4 linked regions of the Oryzias latipes genome follow. The protein of the gene in region 2 interacts with the protein of the main gene of each other region in a pairwise test. Links are inferred from orthologs where the notes say so. Each region holds a gene or a part of one and is shown on either strand. Other genes may lie near its edges.

Region 1 (4,869 bases), on a different chromosome or scaffold from region 2:
CAGAGCTAGAGGAAGTCGACATTTTATAGATCTAGAAAAGCATGTTTTTCTTTAAATAACACTATTGTGTTTTGTATGAAAATTGTAGTGCAAAAAACAGACATTAGCCTTTTTTTTAAACCAAAAAATGAAGTTGAGACGGTGAGGATATGACCTGATGTTGACAGCTGGACCAGCACAACACTGTTTTTTTACTGTGCGTTACCATGGCGATGGAACAAACACAGCAAGCAGTTTGCTCTGAACGAATATCTTCTTGGGATTTATCACTGTAGTGATTGTTGCATTGACGAAGCGCTGCTGTTTGCTTTACTGTTTACCTGAGACTCGCAAAAACACCTGTTAACCGTTTTCCTCCGTTTGTGGACTCCTCTTCCTCGATGCCGTGGAGGCTTTTGAAGGCATGTGGAGGACTGAGCAGCTTCACATCAAACACAGCCGGCACACAATGCTGCATGTTTTCAATAGAAACCCTAAATTATCTGCACGTTACTTCCTGTTAAGTCATATTCCAGGTTCCCCACATTTTCACCAGATTAGAAGTCGACTCCCGGAATCAAAGTCTTTAAAAATAAAAACAAACTGGACCGTCCCATTGGTCGAAGACCATCCCCTTGAAATCAAGTTGCCCTTCGAGCTGGGACGTCCTCAGACGTTCGGTCAGACGTGTCTTTATTTACAAACGAAGGAGGAGATGTTGAGCCACTAGAGGGCAGACCTGCAGCGTCACCATGACACAAAAAACGATGGCATCCTCCTTTGGCGTCCATCAACTCTCCTTGTAGATGAAGAGGATGTCCTCGTCTGTTCCATAGCTCTGCCGGGCCTCCTCGAAGTTACTGACACTGGTGCAGCACACACCTGGAAGAAAAAACATGTTTTCCTGAAATGCTTCCATCAGAACTCCACAGACGAAAGAAAAAAAAAAAAAGGTTGCTGGTTCAGCCGGTCTGAAGCAGTCCAAAGATTCAAAGTCTGACCTTTTAGACAGCATCTGTAAACTGAAAATTTTGGGGAATTCACGAGAAAAAAAACCTGAGTAAATCAAAAATTTACAGTTGAAAGTTTCAGAGAATACAAACAGACATCAAACAAAAAGTTGCAAATAAGAAATGACAGAATTTAAATTCTGTAGATGGAACTTAAGAGGTAAATCAAAACAAAAATCATTCTAAATCTAATTGTTGCTATTGGAGCATTTTAGTTCATTGTTCAAAAAAAGCCATGAATCTGCTTAAAGACTCACTAATGAAAACGAGGTTTTTGGTGGTTTTGCAAGTTCTTATGGCATTTTTCTGAACATAAGCTTAAAGTTGCATGTCTGACAATTTCTTCATTTAAATTGTGAATCAGGAGCAGACTAAAAAAAAATTTTCTGTTTGATAAAGATTGTATTTGTTCACTGGGCGGACCACAGACTACCTGCTCCGCTCCATTCTGATGCATCCACTTGCAGACACATAGATCCATGTTTGTCTTTGTTCTCCTCGTCTGAGCTGGCATCTGGCTCAAAACAGTATGGCTGGATATAACTCCAATATTGCTCGCCATTTAAGTTGGGGGTGTGAGCGGCTATAAGCTAGCAGGAGAGCGTGTTAACAGAGCCCTCAGTTATGGGTGATGTGAAGAGGGCGGGGTTGGCCAACGGTCGTACTGACAACTCAGAGGTGAGTTTTTATTGAACTCCTGTCGCTCTGCAGAAACTATGTTCTAAAAATTGATACAGGTTTTTTGATTTGGGCTATAAATTGCACAATCATGGTTAAAAGATCACCGGGAACGCTTTTAAAATAGATCACAAGATGTTTGGAGTGGGACTTTATGACATAATGGACACATGCATTTTAAAAATGCTACTTATGCACCCTTTGTAACTAAAATGAACTTAAATGTGCAGCTCTTCTCAACCAGCATGGGTGAAAATGATCAAGATACATGTCTTTTTGGACAGAAGAGCTTTTTAAACTTACGGTCAGAATAAGCAGGGTTGTTGTAAAAGATGCTGCCAGCTGTCTTGTTGAAACCACATAAAACCACAAAGTGACCCTGGTACTCCGGCTTCCTGCAGAAACACTTCTGGCCCACGGGCAGGAAGCAGCAGTACTTGACAGGAGAGGAGCACAGCTCACAGGTCAGGATCACGGCGTTGACCAGCACTATGGCGACGTGGCCCTGCTCCAGGTGCGACTGGATCTGCTGAACCGTCACTGAACTGTGGGAGGATGGCACACGTTAGACATGACCTCCACAAGGCAGCAAACATGCGGGGGAATGAGCTGAAACTCACCACTTCCTGACAATCACACCTTTGCTTTCCGCCTTTAGGAAGAGTTCGTTCACTCGGTCTTCCTCTGTGTCAAAATGCTTTTTATAAAAGGACTGCAACACAAAGTAAACAGCATGATAATCAGAACTTCCAGGAGTGTTCTCAAACAGCAGAGACTCGGAGAAGTACCTGGTTTTTAAAGCCTTTATCCACTCCAAGAGTCTGTGTGTAGAAGCAGTGTTTGATTCCTAGATGGCTCATGAGGTAGGCCAGGTCAATGGTCCACACGCTCTCTGTGAGCTTCAGTTCCCAGCATGCTCTCTGAAACTCCTCATCACTCAAAGGGTGGAGGTACCTGCAGTCCACGTGGTCATGGTCTTGTTTTAAGGTGGTCTTACTGTTACTGATTCTTGGTGAAAGGTCAGAGGTGAACTTACTTTAGGACCATTCTGGAGCAGGCTAAGCCACAGTCCCAGTGGTAGAGCTGCCGGATGACAGGAACACTCAGCAGGATGGCATCCTCTGAGTGAGAGAACCAAACATCGCGTAAAGACTGCTGCTGTGTGTGTGAATGGGAAGATTTAACCCGGGTTAAATGGATGTGTCGCATTTCGTACCTGTCATTCTGCTGCGCTCAGTCTTTTAAGGACGGCTTGCTAACTCGAAGCAAACTCGATGGTCCTGTTTCCCCCCCCTGCAGGCGGGGCTGCCTTTCCTCATCTATGCCAACTAAAGAGGAAATATGCCGGGTACACGGTGAAAACGGCGCGTTTGGACACAGCCCCGCCAAACATACGATTATTGACAAGTACAATACATGGCAAAAATATAAAAAGGATTTCCAAAAAACAGACTCCGCTGTTATTGTCCTGCCAGCGCCTTCACCGTCTTCCTCACTTTTTCAGTTGTTTGCTAGTGGCCCAACACTGCCCACGGAGAAGCGTCGTGTTTAGCAAGCTTGTTGCTCTACTGCCCCCGTGCGGTGTGGAGGACTCACTCAAGGCAATTTAATGCAATGTTAGACAGAGAGAGAGAGAGACAGACAGACAGAGCGAGAGAGAGAGAGACAGACAGACAGAGCGAGAGAGAGAGACAGAGAGACAGAGAGACAGAGAGACAGACAGACAGACAGACAGACAGACAGACAGACAGACAGACAGACAGAGATAGTCAAAGAAGTCATTAAAGAAAAGTAGAAACATCTTTATCTATAAGCTATTTCTACCCTTCTTCAAAGTTCTCGTGTCCTCTTTGGAACCTGTCGACACATTTCCATGTTTTTGTACCAATTCATTTTAACAATTCATCCATATCATAATTTGTGGTTGCTGGTTAGATTCCCTCTCGATTTTGGTTCGATTGTAAGGATCCGACTGGATTTGAATAACTGAAAATCGATCTGGGACATATTTAGCCAAAAATCCACCAGTGTAATTCAGAGATAAATAGCTGGTACTGAACAGTGCAGGTGAAGCTTTCCAGATACCTTGTGTTTCTTGCAAGATAAGCAATTGTAAATTATGTGTATGTGTACAAACAAGAATACATGTCAAAACCATTTACATTTTAGTTTCCTAAAGTTCAGCCTGCTGTTGTTTTTCCACATCAAAATAATCCAAAGGGAACATTATTGGAACATTCTACCAGACTGTATGGTCACATGTCTTTGTTAAATTTTAAGTGTTTCCATACATTGGACTGGAATGATGGACTGATCGTTTTTTACTGTCATCACATGTGTGTTGTCCACTGTGATGTACTTGTTTTTTTATTGTAATAGTAAAATAAACATACTGTGCTGCATTTTCCAATATTGATATGATTGACTTATTTCATCTTGATAATGTTCAGGTTGGTTTGATTAAAAATTTCCCTCAGACAGATCAATCCAGTTGGATTGTAGTACTATAAATCGATTCATTGATTAAGTCAATTACTCGTTACACCCCTAGTTTATTTCTTTAAATGCTTTTATGCATATTTTTCAAGCACAAAATTAAAGTTAAACGTTGTAGCAGGACTTGTTGTGATGTTGTTGTCAGCTTTGTACAGAGAGCGGGCTGCAAAGTGGTACAGTGGTTGGCGCCTCTTGCCTCACAGCCAGGGGACCCTGGGACCTCCCTGTGTGAAGTTTGCATGTACTCCCCGTGTAAGTGTAGGTTTTCTCTGGGCACTCTTGACCTCTTCCCGAAAACATGCTTAACCGGTTAATATATGACTCGAAATTGTGCCTAGGTGTGTATTTGAATGCTAAAATTTAAACGCCACACTCACTCTGAACTGTCTCAGCTGACAGTTCAGAGTGAGTGAGACAGAAGTAAAAATCAAGGAAATCACACAATTTTTTTTAATTATTTTTAGAATAGTGCAGAATATGAGGAGTTAGGTAAACTTCAGCTACAAGACACAGAATGCGGGGAAACAATCGAGGAAATCACATAGTAGGATTTTAATGAAAGAATTGATAAATTAACTCCTACAAATAAGCAAGAATTCGGTTCCTCACAGACCTGTTACCACTCCTTTAAGAAGCTCTTCTGTCCAGAACTGGCCATCAGTATTTATGTATCTTCTTTGAACTGGTTATCTGTATAAAAGACACT
Region 2 (4,169 bases):
CTTCAAGGTGCTAGACAGGCCTAAACTGTCCCCTTTTGGATCCATAAGGTCTGACAGAGCAGTAGGCAGAACGCAGATGCTTTGTGCTTATTTGCTCTTGTCTTTCTTTGACCTGATGGGGGCAGGCTTGAGCTCGCCTGACTCAGTCAGTGTGAATGTTGCATCGCTAGCTCGCATGTCTGTAACTCCTCGCAGTCAGTCGGAAGCCAGGCAAGCTTCTGTCAGTGGGGGCTCATCTTTTGGAGAGCGGGTGTCCAGCTGTGAGTGAATTCTTACTCACTCAGTATGTGTACACTTTGTGTGCTGTTGACTGTGTGATGGGACTTCCTGTTGTGTGAGTGTCTAAGTTTGTCGTTCCTTTTGATGGGAAAGATAGTTCAGCCGTGTAGGTGTGGGATACTGTTTGAAGACTCATCGTGTAGGTGAGGATGCCAACTGTGGACTTGATCTTTTGATTGTTCTGGAAAAATAAACATACTTTAACCATTTTGAGGAGCTTTAACATTCAGGACAGCTGCTCTTAGGGAATGTTTTTGCTTTCATTCAAATTTAAGATAGAAAATCACTCTGAAATGGGTATGTGGAAACTTGATTGACATGTAATCGTCCAATTGAGGCTCTGAAACGGCCTTAGTGGGTGTGTTCCAACAACTGACATACCTGTCTGTTGAAAGGAAGTGTTCATTGTAGAGTAGTGCTGGGAGAACAGGTTTTAAGGTGAAATCAACAAGTGACGTGACGACAAGCTGCATCCATCAGATATGTCCTTCAGTCTTGATGCAGACAGAATAGCTATGGAGGGATATTTTTCTGTTCTCCCTGTTCCAAAAGGAAACCCAGAAGTTCCAACTGTTGCAGTTCCTCTAACCACCACTGGTAGCTGGTTTCAAAAGAGATACATTCTTAAACAAACTAGATAATCCAACTTTGCGCTTGGAAAACGTAGCGCTTGTTTGAAAAATAATTTAATGTTTATAAAATTGTATGTTTCTTTACAACAGCTCTATATTTTTAACTTGTTGGTCTGATCAGAATCAGTGTATTAGATTACACAGACTTTGGCCTACAGGTACAGCAGTCAGTCTCTGACTTAAGACTCGTCGGTTCGCTCTGGTCGCCTTCCTCTGTTAATGTGTCCCTAGAAAAGACTCTGAGCCCCACATATCTCCCGGTGGCTCGGTGACTCTAAAGTGCTTAGGACCTTCTAAGAAGGGAGGGAGGGGGGGTAAAACACTATTATATAAGTATATTTCTGTATGTCTATGGCTCTAGACCAAGAGTAAAACCTTTCACTCCAAACACTTAGTGAAGCATTACAGTTTCTGAACAGGATCATTTCTAGTTGAAACAGATTCAGAACTACCGGTAATTCACTTTGCATAAACTTTCAATTTTTCCCCTTCTCTGCCATGAATTGACAGTGGTGTTCAGACTGGTAATTTCTGGGGGCATCATATTTGCATTGACTGAGTGGATCACTCTCTGCATCACTGAGCAGCAGCACATTTTGTTCAATTTATGATGATGGTCCTCTAAGCTGTGCTCTCTGATCTGCTTTGCTTCCCAGGAGAGCAGCATGAGCTTCTTCCTGATCCTTCAGTCCAACTTTCAGCACGTGCTGCAGTATGAGAGCCCAGAGCTGCAGCAGAAAGCTCTCAGTGTGATTCCTCAGCAGAAGCTGTCGGACGCTGCCGGGCTCGGGCTGAACCAGGCCAGAGAGGCCGACCCAGGTGAGACATTGGCCGTTCACAGGAGCCGCTCATACACATAGGTAGCTGGTGAACGCAGCTTGTGTGTCTTCAGGATGCAAGCTGGGAACAGAAGACTTCTTGGTACTGGAGCTGCTTCGCTGGTTCAAACAGAGCTTCTTCTCCTGGGTGAACTGTCTGCCTTGCAGCCACTGTGGAGGCCCCACCCAGAACGCTGGCTCCCTCAGCCCCACCACCGACGACCTCCACTGGGGAGCTCAGCGAGTGGAAAATCATTTCTGCCAGAGCTGTCGGCTCTCCACCAGATTCCCCAGGTGGGTCCATATTCCTTGACTTGGAAGACAAAGTTGGGTGATATCTTAGTCTTTCGTGGCTTTGTTCTACTGGGAGAAAAAAAAAGAGCTCCCAGGTATTATCAAATGATGTATAAAGCATCTGTAGGAAGCAGTATCGGCTTGTGTTGCTGGAGAATTTAAATGTTCGCCTCAGCTGCTGTTTCCTGGAAACCTGTGACATGCTGCTCAGGCCACACCCACAACATTGCAACAACAGAACCAAGTCCAAAGCGGATTAGAGCTGACGGAAGATGTTACAAACTGAGACCAGGGGCTGCATTTATAAACGTTGCGTACGCACAAAAGAAGGCGTACGCCACTCTCTACGCAATAGTTGAGATTTATAAAAAGCAAACTTGACGGGAAAATTTGCGGTCCTTCACGCAAGCTCTGACCCAGGCGTACGCACAAAAACGGGTGAAATGAGAAACGGCGACACCGTCGGCAGATGGAAGAAACACGTGAAAGTGAAAATGACAATACTGCCTCTCAGAAATAACATGAAGACTTCACAAAACAAGTCTTACAATTAACAGCCTACACGAAGACCCGTTTGATCGATCAGCAGTGAAACAAAAAAAAAAAAAACGAAAATTACAACAGAAATTCAAATGAACACATATTTGCAGAAAGAAAAGTGAAATATGTTCCACAATATTGGCATGTTGTGCAATTCATCCTCATAAATAATATAGTTAACAGAACGAAATAATGTACAAAACTGATATTCCCGTCAATGTGTCCGTCTGGCGGAGCAGATATAGGTGCGGGCGTGCGGACGGACGGACGGACAGACGCACTAATTGTCCACTGGGGAAAGTTGTTTTCATATTAAAACATTTCTTCATAAACTATGGAATTATGGTATTCATGAATATGCCTTTAGTTTGTTTTATTTTTGATAAAACAATGTATGGCGTATGTCTCGACCATTCAGAAAGCAACAAGAAATTACATTTGCGCTGAACAATTTCCCATTTCCACGTCGATTATTACCGACATTTGTAGCTTGTCAGATGCAATTAAATGGAGGGAAATAAAATGCCCCATCACAATGCGTAATGACGCACAATGGCTGATCTTGCGCTCTTAGAAGATGTGGCAAATGGAAGAATTCGGAGTGAACGCATCTTTAGACAGCAAGAAGACGTGCTGGCAAACGAGGACGAGTGGTTTAGGAGCCGGTTCCGACTTCCTCGAGCCGTCCTGTTGGTGCTTTTGGGGGTGTGTCACCCGGTGCATCTGGCGCGTCGTGTCCCCCTGCGCGTCAGTCACCACTCCACTTAAGGGATTCCCCAATTATTGCCGCCAGTCTGTCATCAAGAGGGGTCAGCTCCGGTGTTTTATAAATGAGGCCCCAGGTGTTTTCTTCATCCTGCTGATTGTTTCTTCTCAACTTCAGATACAACAACCCTGAGAAGCTGCTGCAGACCAGGAGAGGGCGCTGTGGAGAGTGGGCAAACTGCTTCACGTTGTGCTGCAGAGCCATGGGTCTAGAGGCCAGGTACATCTGGGACAGCACAGGTACGCCTGAGATCGGTCTGCGTGAGTCTCTGTAAAACCTGATCTTTGTAGGAAGGCCTGGTTGCCAGGGAAACCAGTTTTCTTTGTTGCTCAGTTCTGGGATAACGCAATAACACCTTGATGTACAGTTGGACGCTTTATTCCAGCTAAGAAAGTGTGGCCTTATTCAGATAATCTGCTCAGAGCTATAGAATAACAATTTTAGTTAACTAGCTTAGTTTGATAATTTGTGATCCTTTTTATCACTGTGTGTTGATCTGTACTTTTTAAATGAACTGGTTGAAAATGGAATTTTAGGTAAATTTGAACTTTCTCTGGGGACCTGCTCACTGGAAAAACCAGTTTTTATGTTTACATATACAGGATTAACCAGATTACCACACCTCCACTGTCTTGCATGGGGAATCCCGGTTCCCTACTTCCAGCAGCATCTCTCTGTTCAAAGTATTTGCAGTTTTTGTCTTGGTCAAAAGTTTAGATTTTTGTGCGGACAGGATCTGCCTCAGGAAACCGGGTTTTCCAGAATTCCTCATTTCTCCCTCCTGAAAATGTGGTTTTTGGAGAACACTTGATTGTAACCCATTCAGTGTGATCGTCCTGC
Region 3 (4,696 bases), on a different chromosome or scaffold from region 2:
GGGATGGAGCGAGAGCCAAAGATGAAAGAGGGGGTGCAGAGAAGGAAGCAAAATGTCTTTCTGAAGGCCTCAATGAGTCAAAGCAGCAAAGATCTGGCTGTTTGATGCAACCCTTCAACAGAATTTCTTGTTGTCTTAAAGTAAAAAAAAAAAGATTTCTACTCAGGCACAACATCAAAACCACCTTCCTGATTTGGAGCTCCTCTCATGTTACAAAAATAGCTCAGACTTATTGGGCCGTAGACGAGACTTCTCAAGGTTTCTCCTGGCGTCACGCTCCTCGACAAGAGCTGCAGATCCTGTGGGTGGTGGTAGTGGGTGGGTGGGGGGATCCAGGCCTCCATCACACTCCTGTGTCTTAGCCTCCCATGGAGGCTCACGAATAACGTAGACAACACCTGTAACCCTTGTGCTATCCTAGGCACTTTACTATTGGGAGTTGGGTCATCTAGACCCACTAGACAGTGCTCTGAACCTTTTTTCTTCAGTGATTTGTGATCTTCACTGGTGTCCATGGATTACATGAAATCTTTCCACCTTTATCCACCTTTGTCATGGTAGGGAGAACACGTCAATGTAAGGGTGGGGTCATCTAAGATAGCACAAGGGTTAAATCTCACAGTGTGATGATAAGCACCATAACTTTATGATCCACCAAATGTTTCCTAAACATTTGTTTACAACACTGTGGGTTGCGTTTAGGGGCGTATAGATTAATCGGCTTAAGCCATGAATCAATTTTTATTCCCACGACCTACCAGATCAATCGGTTTGAGCCAAGTTGTTATTCAAATTATAGAATCATTTTAAAAATAACTAAATTGATTATTTCGATATTTGCAAATACCATTTGGATTGAGGCACGGTAGGTTTCCAAGAGGAAACCTGTGTATGCACAGGGAGAACATACAAAATCCACACAGCAAGGTTCCAGCAGGGATTTGAACCTCTCCCAGTGGGGCAAGAGTGCTAACCACTATACAATTGTGCAGCCTACACCATTTAATACGTGAATTTAAAAAATAATTTAGTGTCAAAGTGCTAATTATTTGCTCCAATATTTGTGCTGTATATATTTTTTTTATTGTTATTGTTATGCTATTTTACTTTTTAAATCCTATTTAATTTAATTTTGTTTAAACAGCTGTGTGTTTAATGTTTAAATGACATGAAATCTGTGGTATTACTTTTCAGTATTACTTACTTATTCAGAGTGTTAGGAAAAAATAACATTCTGTTTTGATTAATTTTTATGTGAAAATGTGTATATATATTGAAAAAAACATATAGAATATAATGAAGAAAAATATATATAGAATATCCTCCACAATCAAATCAATTTAACCGTGGTGGGACCAACTGATTTGGATTTATTGTCCAGCAGATTATTTGATTAAGTTCAACGTGTAGCCACCAGGGGCGCTAGTGTGTTTTTTCATGAGGGGGGGGGGTTACCCGGTTTTACCGCCACAGAAGAAGAGAACCGAAAAATCATGGCGGCTGACAGTTTGTAATGAGCCAACGGAAAAAAGCGATTTCTTTCAAGTTAGATTTACAGATTTTTTTAAAATTGGAGCCAGAAGTAAACCGACCTACAACATGCTGATAACTTTAAAGACTTTGCAACAGCAGACCTTCAAAATCGACATCGATGAGGAAGAAACGGTGAGAAATATGCGCGAGCGGGAGTTGTTTATGTGGAGCAACTAAAACAGCAGTAAATGTTTTTTTGTTTGTTTTTGTTAAAAACATATTGACTAGAGTCATTACGCTAGCAAAATAATACTCTTTTGATTTAAAATAACATACAAAAACTCAGGCAAAATGTTGTTGTCTGTGCTTAAATGTAATGACGATAGTAAAGTTGTTTCTATTTACACGCCAGCCTTCGCACTGTTCCTAAACATTTATGACAGAGATCTTTTACTCCGAACTTTTACTTTCGATAAACTTTAAGGACATGCGCGTTATTCCTCTAAATCTGTTGCTAACAGCTAAGATTCAATGGTTGATGTCTGTAGCTAGATTTTAGAGGAGGTTTCCTTCTTAACAACAGAAACTTGGACCTTATGGCTCCAGAAGTGCTGAGTCATCTCACTGTGTGTATTGTTGTTTACTGCTAGTCATTGTTGTCAGTGTTGTTGTTTCTTCTGCAGGTGAAGACGTTAAAGGAGAGGATTGAGCAGGAAAAGGGGAAGGAGAGCTTTTCAGTGGCCGGGCAGAAGCTGATCTACGCCGGTATGATGGGTCCCTCCCTGCCTCTTTCTTCCTCTGAGTACTCACGTGATGTTTAGACCGGTTCTGATCAGTTTGCATCCATAGTCCTGGCAGGTTAAGATCCGGAAAGATCTGTACTCTTTGATTTGCCTAAAAGTTTTTTTTGTATATTTCTCTGCATATTTGACACAAAATTGCTTCAGATCTTAAACTGTCGGGTCTATAAAGTCCAGAAATCTAGAATTTTCAGCCTAAAATATTTAAAAATGCATTTAATTTGATGTCATTTGTCTTAAATTATGTATTTCTTTGCTGTGTTGTTTAATAGTGACCACAAGAATGATGATACGCTGCAAACACACTTTTGTTGACACACAAGTACTTTTTGGTACATAAAGTTTCACCAAAACCCATAAAATAGTTATTTTAGGTTCTGTTCCTCAATATTTTAAATGTGTCTTAAAGCGAACTGTGCTTTTATTTTGACATGCATGTTACAGCCTCAAAGACGCTGAAAAGAAACTTTAAAAAGACTACAAATTGATTGCTGACGTTATGTAAAATGATTGATTTAAGGCGATGACGATGTCTGCTGCTTCTGTTTGTATTCTAGAAGAATAGTTTTTTTGTCAATGTGGGCAAAAAAGTGTTAAAATTCTGACTGTCGTTACAAACATAGTTTAGTTTTGACTTCAGAATAAAATAAAATCGCTAGATACCTGCACTTTATGTTTTACATCAGGGTGAAGGGATCCAACTGGATCCTATGTTAGGCTAACCCGGGTCCGGCAAATTCTATGTTCAAATCAGCTTCACCCAGGAAGCATTGAATCAAATCGAACATTATTTAGAAAGTGCTTTTCCTACAAGTGCTTTACATTAAAGAAAAACCAAATAAATAATATAAAAACAAGCACGAAAATTAAAATAGAACCCCCTCCCCAGACCTACACACAGCCCCCTCCCCCCCTAACTGATGGGGATCGACAATGGGAAACAGGCTTGCGCGTCTGTGCACATTTGGACTCCAAGTTGAGTACAGAAATCATTGTGTCACCTTTAGAGCTCACATGAGCACAAAAAAAGCACCAAAACGTAAAGCTTCCACACCAATCCTTTCCAAAAAATACAGTTTTCCCATGATTCATTGGTGAGAAGACAGATGGAGGTTAGCGAACCACTTCTGTAGCTTCTTATGCTTTTAAAAGAACTTTCTTGATTCGATTGATGCATTTGTGGCTCAGTAGTTGCTTGTTTTTCAGCCTCATTTGATCCAAATCATCAACAGAACGGGACTGGGCTTCAATTTACTGCTTTATGCCGGATTATTATGGGTTTTTTTAAGTCAATGATTGACAGATGTGTTTATGCTTTTCTGCTTTAATGGGTAGAGCGCTGCAGTTGAAGTGAATATCATGAAAAATAGGAGTCAACAAAAGATTTTGGTTGAGAATAAAGATAAATGCTTAGAAATTAACTTTTAAAAACAGATTTTGTGTAAATGACCATCATTTGTGTGACCGGCACAGATCCTCGTTTTCTAGTTTTCAGAGCGAGTAAAACCCAGACGGATGTCGTCCATCCCTCAGAAATCCTTTTCTGCTTCTTTCCAGGAAAAATCCTCAGCGACGACACGGCCCTCAAAGAATACAAAATCGATGAGAAGAACTTTGTGGTCGTCATGGTGACAAAGGTCGGTGAATTACAAACCGCTGGTGAATTGCAAGCTTGCTTGGAACCTTTATATCCCTCCGTTTTGTTCCTTTATTCGTAAGCGAATCCCTTTGGTGACTTTCTCCTCTTTTTTTTCACACCGTGTCTGAGTGTCAACCGCCTCTGCTGGTGTGCGGGGCTGCACACCTGTCTGATGCTGAGCTCCTAAAACCTCCACAAAAGCAACTTTCTTTAATTCACCCCCTAAAATATCAAAGATTGGAATAATTTCACTAAAAGCAGAGGTGGTCTTATGTCATCACACTTGTTTAGAAGTTCCTCTATGCTTTTATTTTGGCGGGTGGAATTGAAGGGGAGGAATACAATTTGGAGATTCAAACTTTTGTTTTTTAAGATCATTTTTTTGTTTTAGCTGCTGTGCTTTCATGCGGACAGATGCTAACAGATTTCAGATCTGTTAAAAGAAACAAAATTCACTTCCTGTTTTAGGATGGAGTCTCATTTAGCGGTATTGTGTGTGTGTTTTTTTGTTCCAATCGTGATTGTAACTTATAGCGAATCTCGATGCAGAGCAGCCGTTTTTTTCCTTTGCTGCTGAGGGGATGTGGGAGGGCAGCACCCACCGCTACAAAAAAAAAAGAAAAGGCGACAACTTTATTTTAGCTGCCAAAAGACAAGTTTAAATCTTTATTCTAAACACAATAATGCAAAAAGGATGGGAAGAAATTTAATATCAATAAAATGTTTGAGGCTGCACAGCAAGTTTATGAAAAACCATTAAGTTCTCATTATTATTCAGACAAAA
Region 4 (4,823 bases), on a different chromosome or scaffold from region 2:
GTGGTTTAATACAAAAATGGCAATGTCAAAAATGCATCCAGACACATTCACAAACCTGATGCAAAATGAGGTCATCTTCAGGAAACAGCTCCTCACAAAACTCACAAGGCAACATGGTATCTACAAAACAAAAGTTTTTGTGAGAAACAAACAGCAGAGCAATGAGAAAAGTTCTGGTATACTCGGATCTAACCTGTTTGGTCATAGTCCCGGACTGCGCTTGTGACCGTTCCTCCACTGAAGTTGGAGTAATTGTTGTTGGGAAGAGAAAAGGAAGGGTTTGCTGATGTGTTAGACTTCCCTATGTTGTGGTCCCAGATGTCGCTCCACATGTTGCCTTCCACACCTGCCCCTGGTCCTCCATCCCCCTGCAGGCTGAGAGCCAACATGTAGTCCAGGCCGGGGGAATCCTCGTCTGATGGACTCTCACTGTGTGATTTGGCATTGTTGCTGCTTCCATGCAGGAAATCACTGTGACCTACAATTAACCGAAAATGTTATCCCATCCATTTTAGGAAATCAGATTTTACTAGTGCAAGAATGAGTTCAATATCTAAATTAAATGTTCTAGACATAATGTTGATGGCCTCATCTCACGACACATAAAGCAAACATTGCACTCACAGTGGCTAAACCCTGTGTTTTGAGGTGCAGCATTCTTCCAGTCTCTTGAAGCCTGCGTTTCTCTCGCTGTGTTGAACATTGAAGGATTAAATGCAGGAGGAAAGGACTGTTGAGCTGACGCACCAATGTTATTATTTTTCGGACTCCTTTCTTGGGGTCTGAGGAGGTTTCGAATGGAGTGAGCTTCAAACCATGCATCGGAAGACTCTCGCTCTGCTGCGGTGCGGCTCATCCTGCTGTTGTTCTTCTCTTGAGGTGGTGTGAGGCTTCCACATAAGGCTGGATGTACAACCTGTTCACGCAGCATCACATTGCACTTGCAGAGTGGACAAGGCTCAGTCCGTGTACCACAATAGTCCTCATGCTCCTTAGACTGAGAAAAAGCAAGCTCCAGATCACAGTACGGGCAGGACACCAGTCGCTGTGGGCATTCAGAATTCTGCAAGAAACAAATAACAGGAACATTTAAATAAAATAACAACATAGCTGAAAAATATTCTGTACTTTTACTCAAAACAGTCTTTTTAGACAAGAATTTGCATATTATTCATTGGTTATTCTTTGCATGGATAAAAAGGCATCTTTGTTCCTGACCATACCTGATGAACATCGACATGATTTTTCTCAACTTTCATTCCACATTTGCATGTAATCTGGAAAAAAAAGGAGTTTACATTGAAAACTTTAAAGAGTTTCACTTTGCAATAATTTCTCTAAGAGCAAACTTTAGTTGATATCATTGGTGGGTGCAGCGGAAAATATCTGTTTCAAAATTTAAGCTTAAAGTCCCGCTTCAATCATCTTTTGATCTATTTCAGAAGTGTTTTCAGTGGCCTTATAGTTATAAGCATGTAATTTTTAGCCAAAATCGAAAATTATTTATTTATTATTTTTTCTAGGACGTAGTTTCTGTAGTAGTGCATTCGAAATTTGCTTCTGAGTTGATGAAGGAATTCTGCGGCAGAACAAGTCAGCCCCCACTTCCGTATATAAGCCATCTGTTTAAAAGCTATTAGCCCTCACACATCCAACCTAACATTACTGGTGGAACAAAAATGGCCAGCAATATTGGAGCCATCCAGCTGTTTTGACCCAAATGCCAACCTTGGACGAGGAAAACAAAGACATACGTGGATCTGTGTGTCTACATGTGGATGCATCGGAATGGAGCAGAGCATGGAGCTGGTGGCTTGCTGCAGTAGGTCCTACATTACAACAAGCCTTTTTTTTTCTGCTCCTGATTCGCAAGGATTTGAATAAAGAAAAATACCCAGAAAGGCAGTTTTAAGCTTAATTTTATTTATATGTGTCATCCATCAAGAGAAAAATCCTACAGGAACGTGTTTAAAGTACGATTTTCATTTGAGTGCATCTTAAAGTTACAATTAGTGGATTTATGAGGATTTACCTGCAGCACAGTGGTAAGTTTACCTGAATGAAATGCATTGCCCCACCCTCCCTATTATTTTAGACTTTGGATGACACTCAATATTTTCAAAGTCCCATTAGAATCAGGGGGAAATGACCATCCCAATCGCGCTTCATCTGGAAGATCCTCCCCAAAATCACTGGATAAAGAGCCAATGGCCCCGCATCCGTGTACATGCTGGTGTTAAGTTCAGATATCTACCTCCGTGTGTTCTTGCAGCTTGTGCTCCTCGAGGTCGGATCGGGGTACGGGCTCCTGGCACACGTCACACAGTGCTATGTTTCTGCGACAGTGAATCTCGTGGGTGGTGAAATTGGCCTCTGGGATGTCACGTTTACTTAAAAACAAAAAACAACAACAATAGAAGGGGCTGCTAGCCACCAAGAAGAACTGCATTAGAAACTCGCGTCACAATAAATTCATACTTACCAGTTGCCACAATACATGATGGTGTTTTCGTCGTCTGCCATCATGACTTCAGAAAAACCTTTAACAAATAGCCATAAACATAAAACAGAAAGGGACATTCATCTTTGCTCCAACGAGCTGGACATTTTATCTTCTTCTGGGTTTTAACATTTATTTTAGTAGTGTAGCTGTAACCGTATAAGTTATAACATTTTGTTATTATATCATAGGGCTAGGCTAGGCTTAGGGTTTGTTTAAAGAGCGGCTATCGTTTTGGAAAAAATGAAACCAATCGAGAACCGTTTCACTTAGCCCTTCTTATGGTTTACAGGAAGACAGTAAATATTTTATTCCGAAGAACACCGAACACGAACCTTAACCAAAAATGGGGTTTGGACGACTTGAGTTAAATAGAAAATACAATGTTTTGTCTGTATTGGGCTAGCTAGCGTAGCATTATGATTACCTAACTAAATCCATCTACAGTTTACGAACATCTCGTCATACAGCTAATGTTACGATAGATTTTGTGTATAACGAAAATTCATAATAGTAGTTTCTTATTTTACCTTTTGTCAGTTGGATATTTTCACTTGATAAAGATGAAAACCAGTCTAAACTGTCATTTCCTCTTCCTTCGTCTGGCCTTCTCCCTCCTAATCTCCTCCCCGGGTAAAGGCTTACAGGCACAGACTTTTTCAGAATGTCTAAATACGGTTTACACGTATTCTCGCTCTCAATCACAGAGTAAACGAGTCATCGGTTTTATGAGTAACACAAAGCTGTAACCAAAATCTAAAGGTTTTTTTTTCCCGCAAGACACAAGTCAGGGCATAAATTAACACAAGGTGAATACTCAAAATTGATTGGTGATTTAAAGATCCTGCGTAATGCTTTATCCTACATCCAACATCGCAAGTATCTTCAATATGCTTTTTTTTTATTCGTGTTTTTCCGCTACAAATTAATTTTAAATGGTGCATTCTTGAGTCAAATTCTCAAAATTTACACTTTTATGGAGTTTACTATTATGTATTATATATAATGTTGATAGACATTGCATAGAACTACGAGAAAGAAAAACATGACATGAATTTTAAAAGACATGATTCCCCACTGTATTGTCTAATATGTTTTATTGAAATTTTGATTCACCAATAATGTCATGTCGGACAATTTATTGTAAGGCACAGTTCTGTTAAGATAAAACACTGATTATATGTACAGCAAATATTTGAATGTGTTGTAGAAATCCTACAAACTTCAACTCAAAGACAAGACAAATATTGTAAAAACAATGGAAATTTGCTTCCAAGCCCTTTTTCTTGCAAGATTTCAGAGGTAAAGTCACCACTTTACAATTTGATAATAAGATGTAACAGAACATTTAAAACATGCTGTAAAAAGAAATACAGAATAAAAGAAAACTGAGTAAATGACAAACCTTTTGAATATTCTGTAAAAAGAAAGAATACTTGAGATTTTAACTAGTGCCCTAAAAGAAGAAAACGATTTAAACATGTGCTCAAACTGTTAGTTTTGCCGTCCATGTTTAGGTTTAAAAAACACTTTCTCTAAAGAATGCATGATGAAGCCCACGTCTTAGTTCTTTGTGATGCATTTAATCCATTAGCAAAATAATTCTCTGATAAAAGTTTAGGTCCAACTTTTGCAGATCACACTCTGGAAAACATTCGGCAAGAGCATTAGCTGCACAGGGACAAACGTGTGTCTGTACACAATGAATCATCACCGTAGAAATCAAATAAAACGACATTACTGATCATTCTGTTTGCATGATTGTTTCTACCATATCGATCCCCTCTATATCTCCGTCAAAGAGGCATTATAAGCTGCTGATATGAACTAAAAAAAAATGGAAAAAAAAGACAAATGTAACTTTGTATGCTGTCTCATATTTTAGCATTTTTAGAAAATGTGCAAAACAATATTGTGAAGCTAAATCAAAACAGCTACTCCCTGCCTTATTTGTGGCCTTCTTGTTGTTGATGACTCGCTGCATCTCTTTATATTGAATTGTGAAGCGTGGAAATATTACAAGAACCATAAAAGTAGATTTATCTTGTAGGTTTATACACTAAACTCCTGTTCAGATTTCCGCCTACCTTCGTTTTTGTGCTCTTACAAGCTTACTACCTTTTTTGAAAGCCTTCCTGTTGCACTTCCTTGTACGTAAGGAGGACATTTGGTCATTCGTTGTAACTCTATAGTCTCTATAGTTATAATCAATAACTATAAAATGCTTAAACAACTCAAACACTATATTTCAAGTCATGAAAAAGGAAGCAGGGTTTTGCTTTTTAGTCCAATATAAAATTCAGTCCTGTGGAAAAATATGTTG

The links.
Region 1: the proteins of ngly1 (region 2) and gucd1 interact in binary tests that used the Homo sapiens proteins (3 or more experiments, as listed by UniProt). The two-hybrid records come from large-scale screens. The link is inferred for Oryzias latipes from reciprocal best matches to the Homo sapiens genes NGLY1 and GUCD1.
Region 3: the proteins of ngly1 (region 2) and rad23b interact in binary tests that used the Homo sapiens proteins (3 or more experiments, as listed by UniProt). The two-hybrid records come from large-scale screens. The link is inferred for Oryzias latipes from reciprocal best matches to the Homo sapiens genes NGLY1 and RAD23B.
Region 4: the proteins of ngly1 (region 2) and trafd1 interact in binary tests that used the Homo sapiens proteins (3 or more experiments, as listed by UniProt). The two-hybrid records come from large-scale screens. The link is inferred for Oryzias latipes from reciprocal best matches to the Homo sapiens genes NGLY1 and TRAFD1.

What each region holds. Positions count from the first base shown.
Region 1 is NC_019867.2:25,327,030-25,331,898, reverse strand, and holds the start of gucd1 (protein GUCD1), read right to left. Parts: upstream 3,243-4,869; 5' UTR 2,891-3,242; coding exon 2,884-2,890; intron 2,789-2,883; coding exon 2,704-2,788; intron 2,622-2,703; coding exon 2,456-2,621; intron 2,380-2,455; coding exon 2,288-2,379; intron 2,213-2,287; coding exon 1,971-2,212; intron 862-1,970; coding exon 770-861; 3' UTR 1-769.
Region 2 is NC_019869.2:19,041,464-19,045,632, reverse strand, and holds part of ngly1 (peptide-N(4)-(N-acetyl-beta-glucosaminyl)asparagine amidase), read left to right. Parts: intron 1-1,567; coding exon 1,568-1,730; intron 1,731-1,803; coding exon 1,804-2,023; intron 2,024-3,446; coding exon 3,447-3,568; intron 3,569-4,169. UniProt on the Homo sapiens protein: Specifically deglycosylates the denatured form of N-linked glycoproteins in the cytoplasm and assists their proteasome-mediated degradation. Cleaves the beta-aspartyl-glucosamine (GlcNAc) of the glycan and the amide side chain of Asn, converting Asn to Asp.
Region 3 is NC_019870.2:9,289,206-9,293,901, forward strand, and holds the start of rad23b (UV excision repair protein RAD23 homolog B), read left to right. Parts: upstream 1-1,454; 5' UTR 1,455-1,599; coding exon 1,600-1,665; intron 1,666-2,156; coding exon 2,157-2,238; intron 2,239-3,830; coding exon 3,831-3,910; intron 3,911-4,696. UniProt on the Homo sapiens protein: Multiubiquitin chain receptor involved in modulation of proteasomal degradation. Binds to polyubiquitin chains.
Region 4 is NC_019867.2:12,247,552-12,252,374, reverse strand, and holds the start of trafd1 (TRAF-type zinc finger domain-containing protein 1), read right to left. Parts: upstream 3,243-4,823; 5' UTR 3,031-3,242; intron 2,541-3,030; 5' UTR 2,527-2,540; coding exon 2,483-2,526; intron 2,391-2,482; coding exon 2,255-2,390; intron 1,278-2,254; coding exon 1,224-1,277; intron 1,064-1,223; coding exon 625-1,063; intron 479-624; coding exon 194-478; intron 121-193; coding exon 56-120; intron 1-55. UniProt on the Homo sapiens protein: Negative feedback regulator that controls excessive innate immune responses. Regulates both Toll-like receptor 4 (TLR4) and DDX58/RIG1-like helicases (RLH) pathways.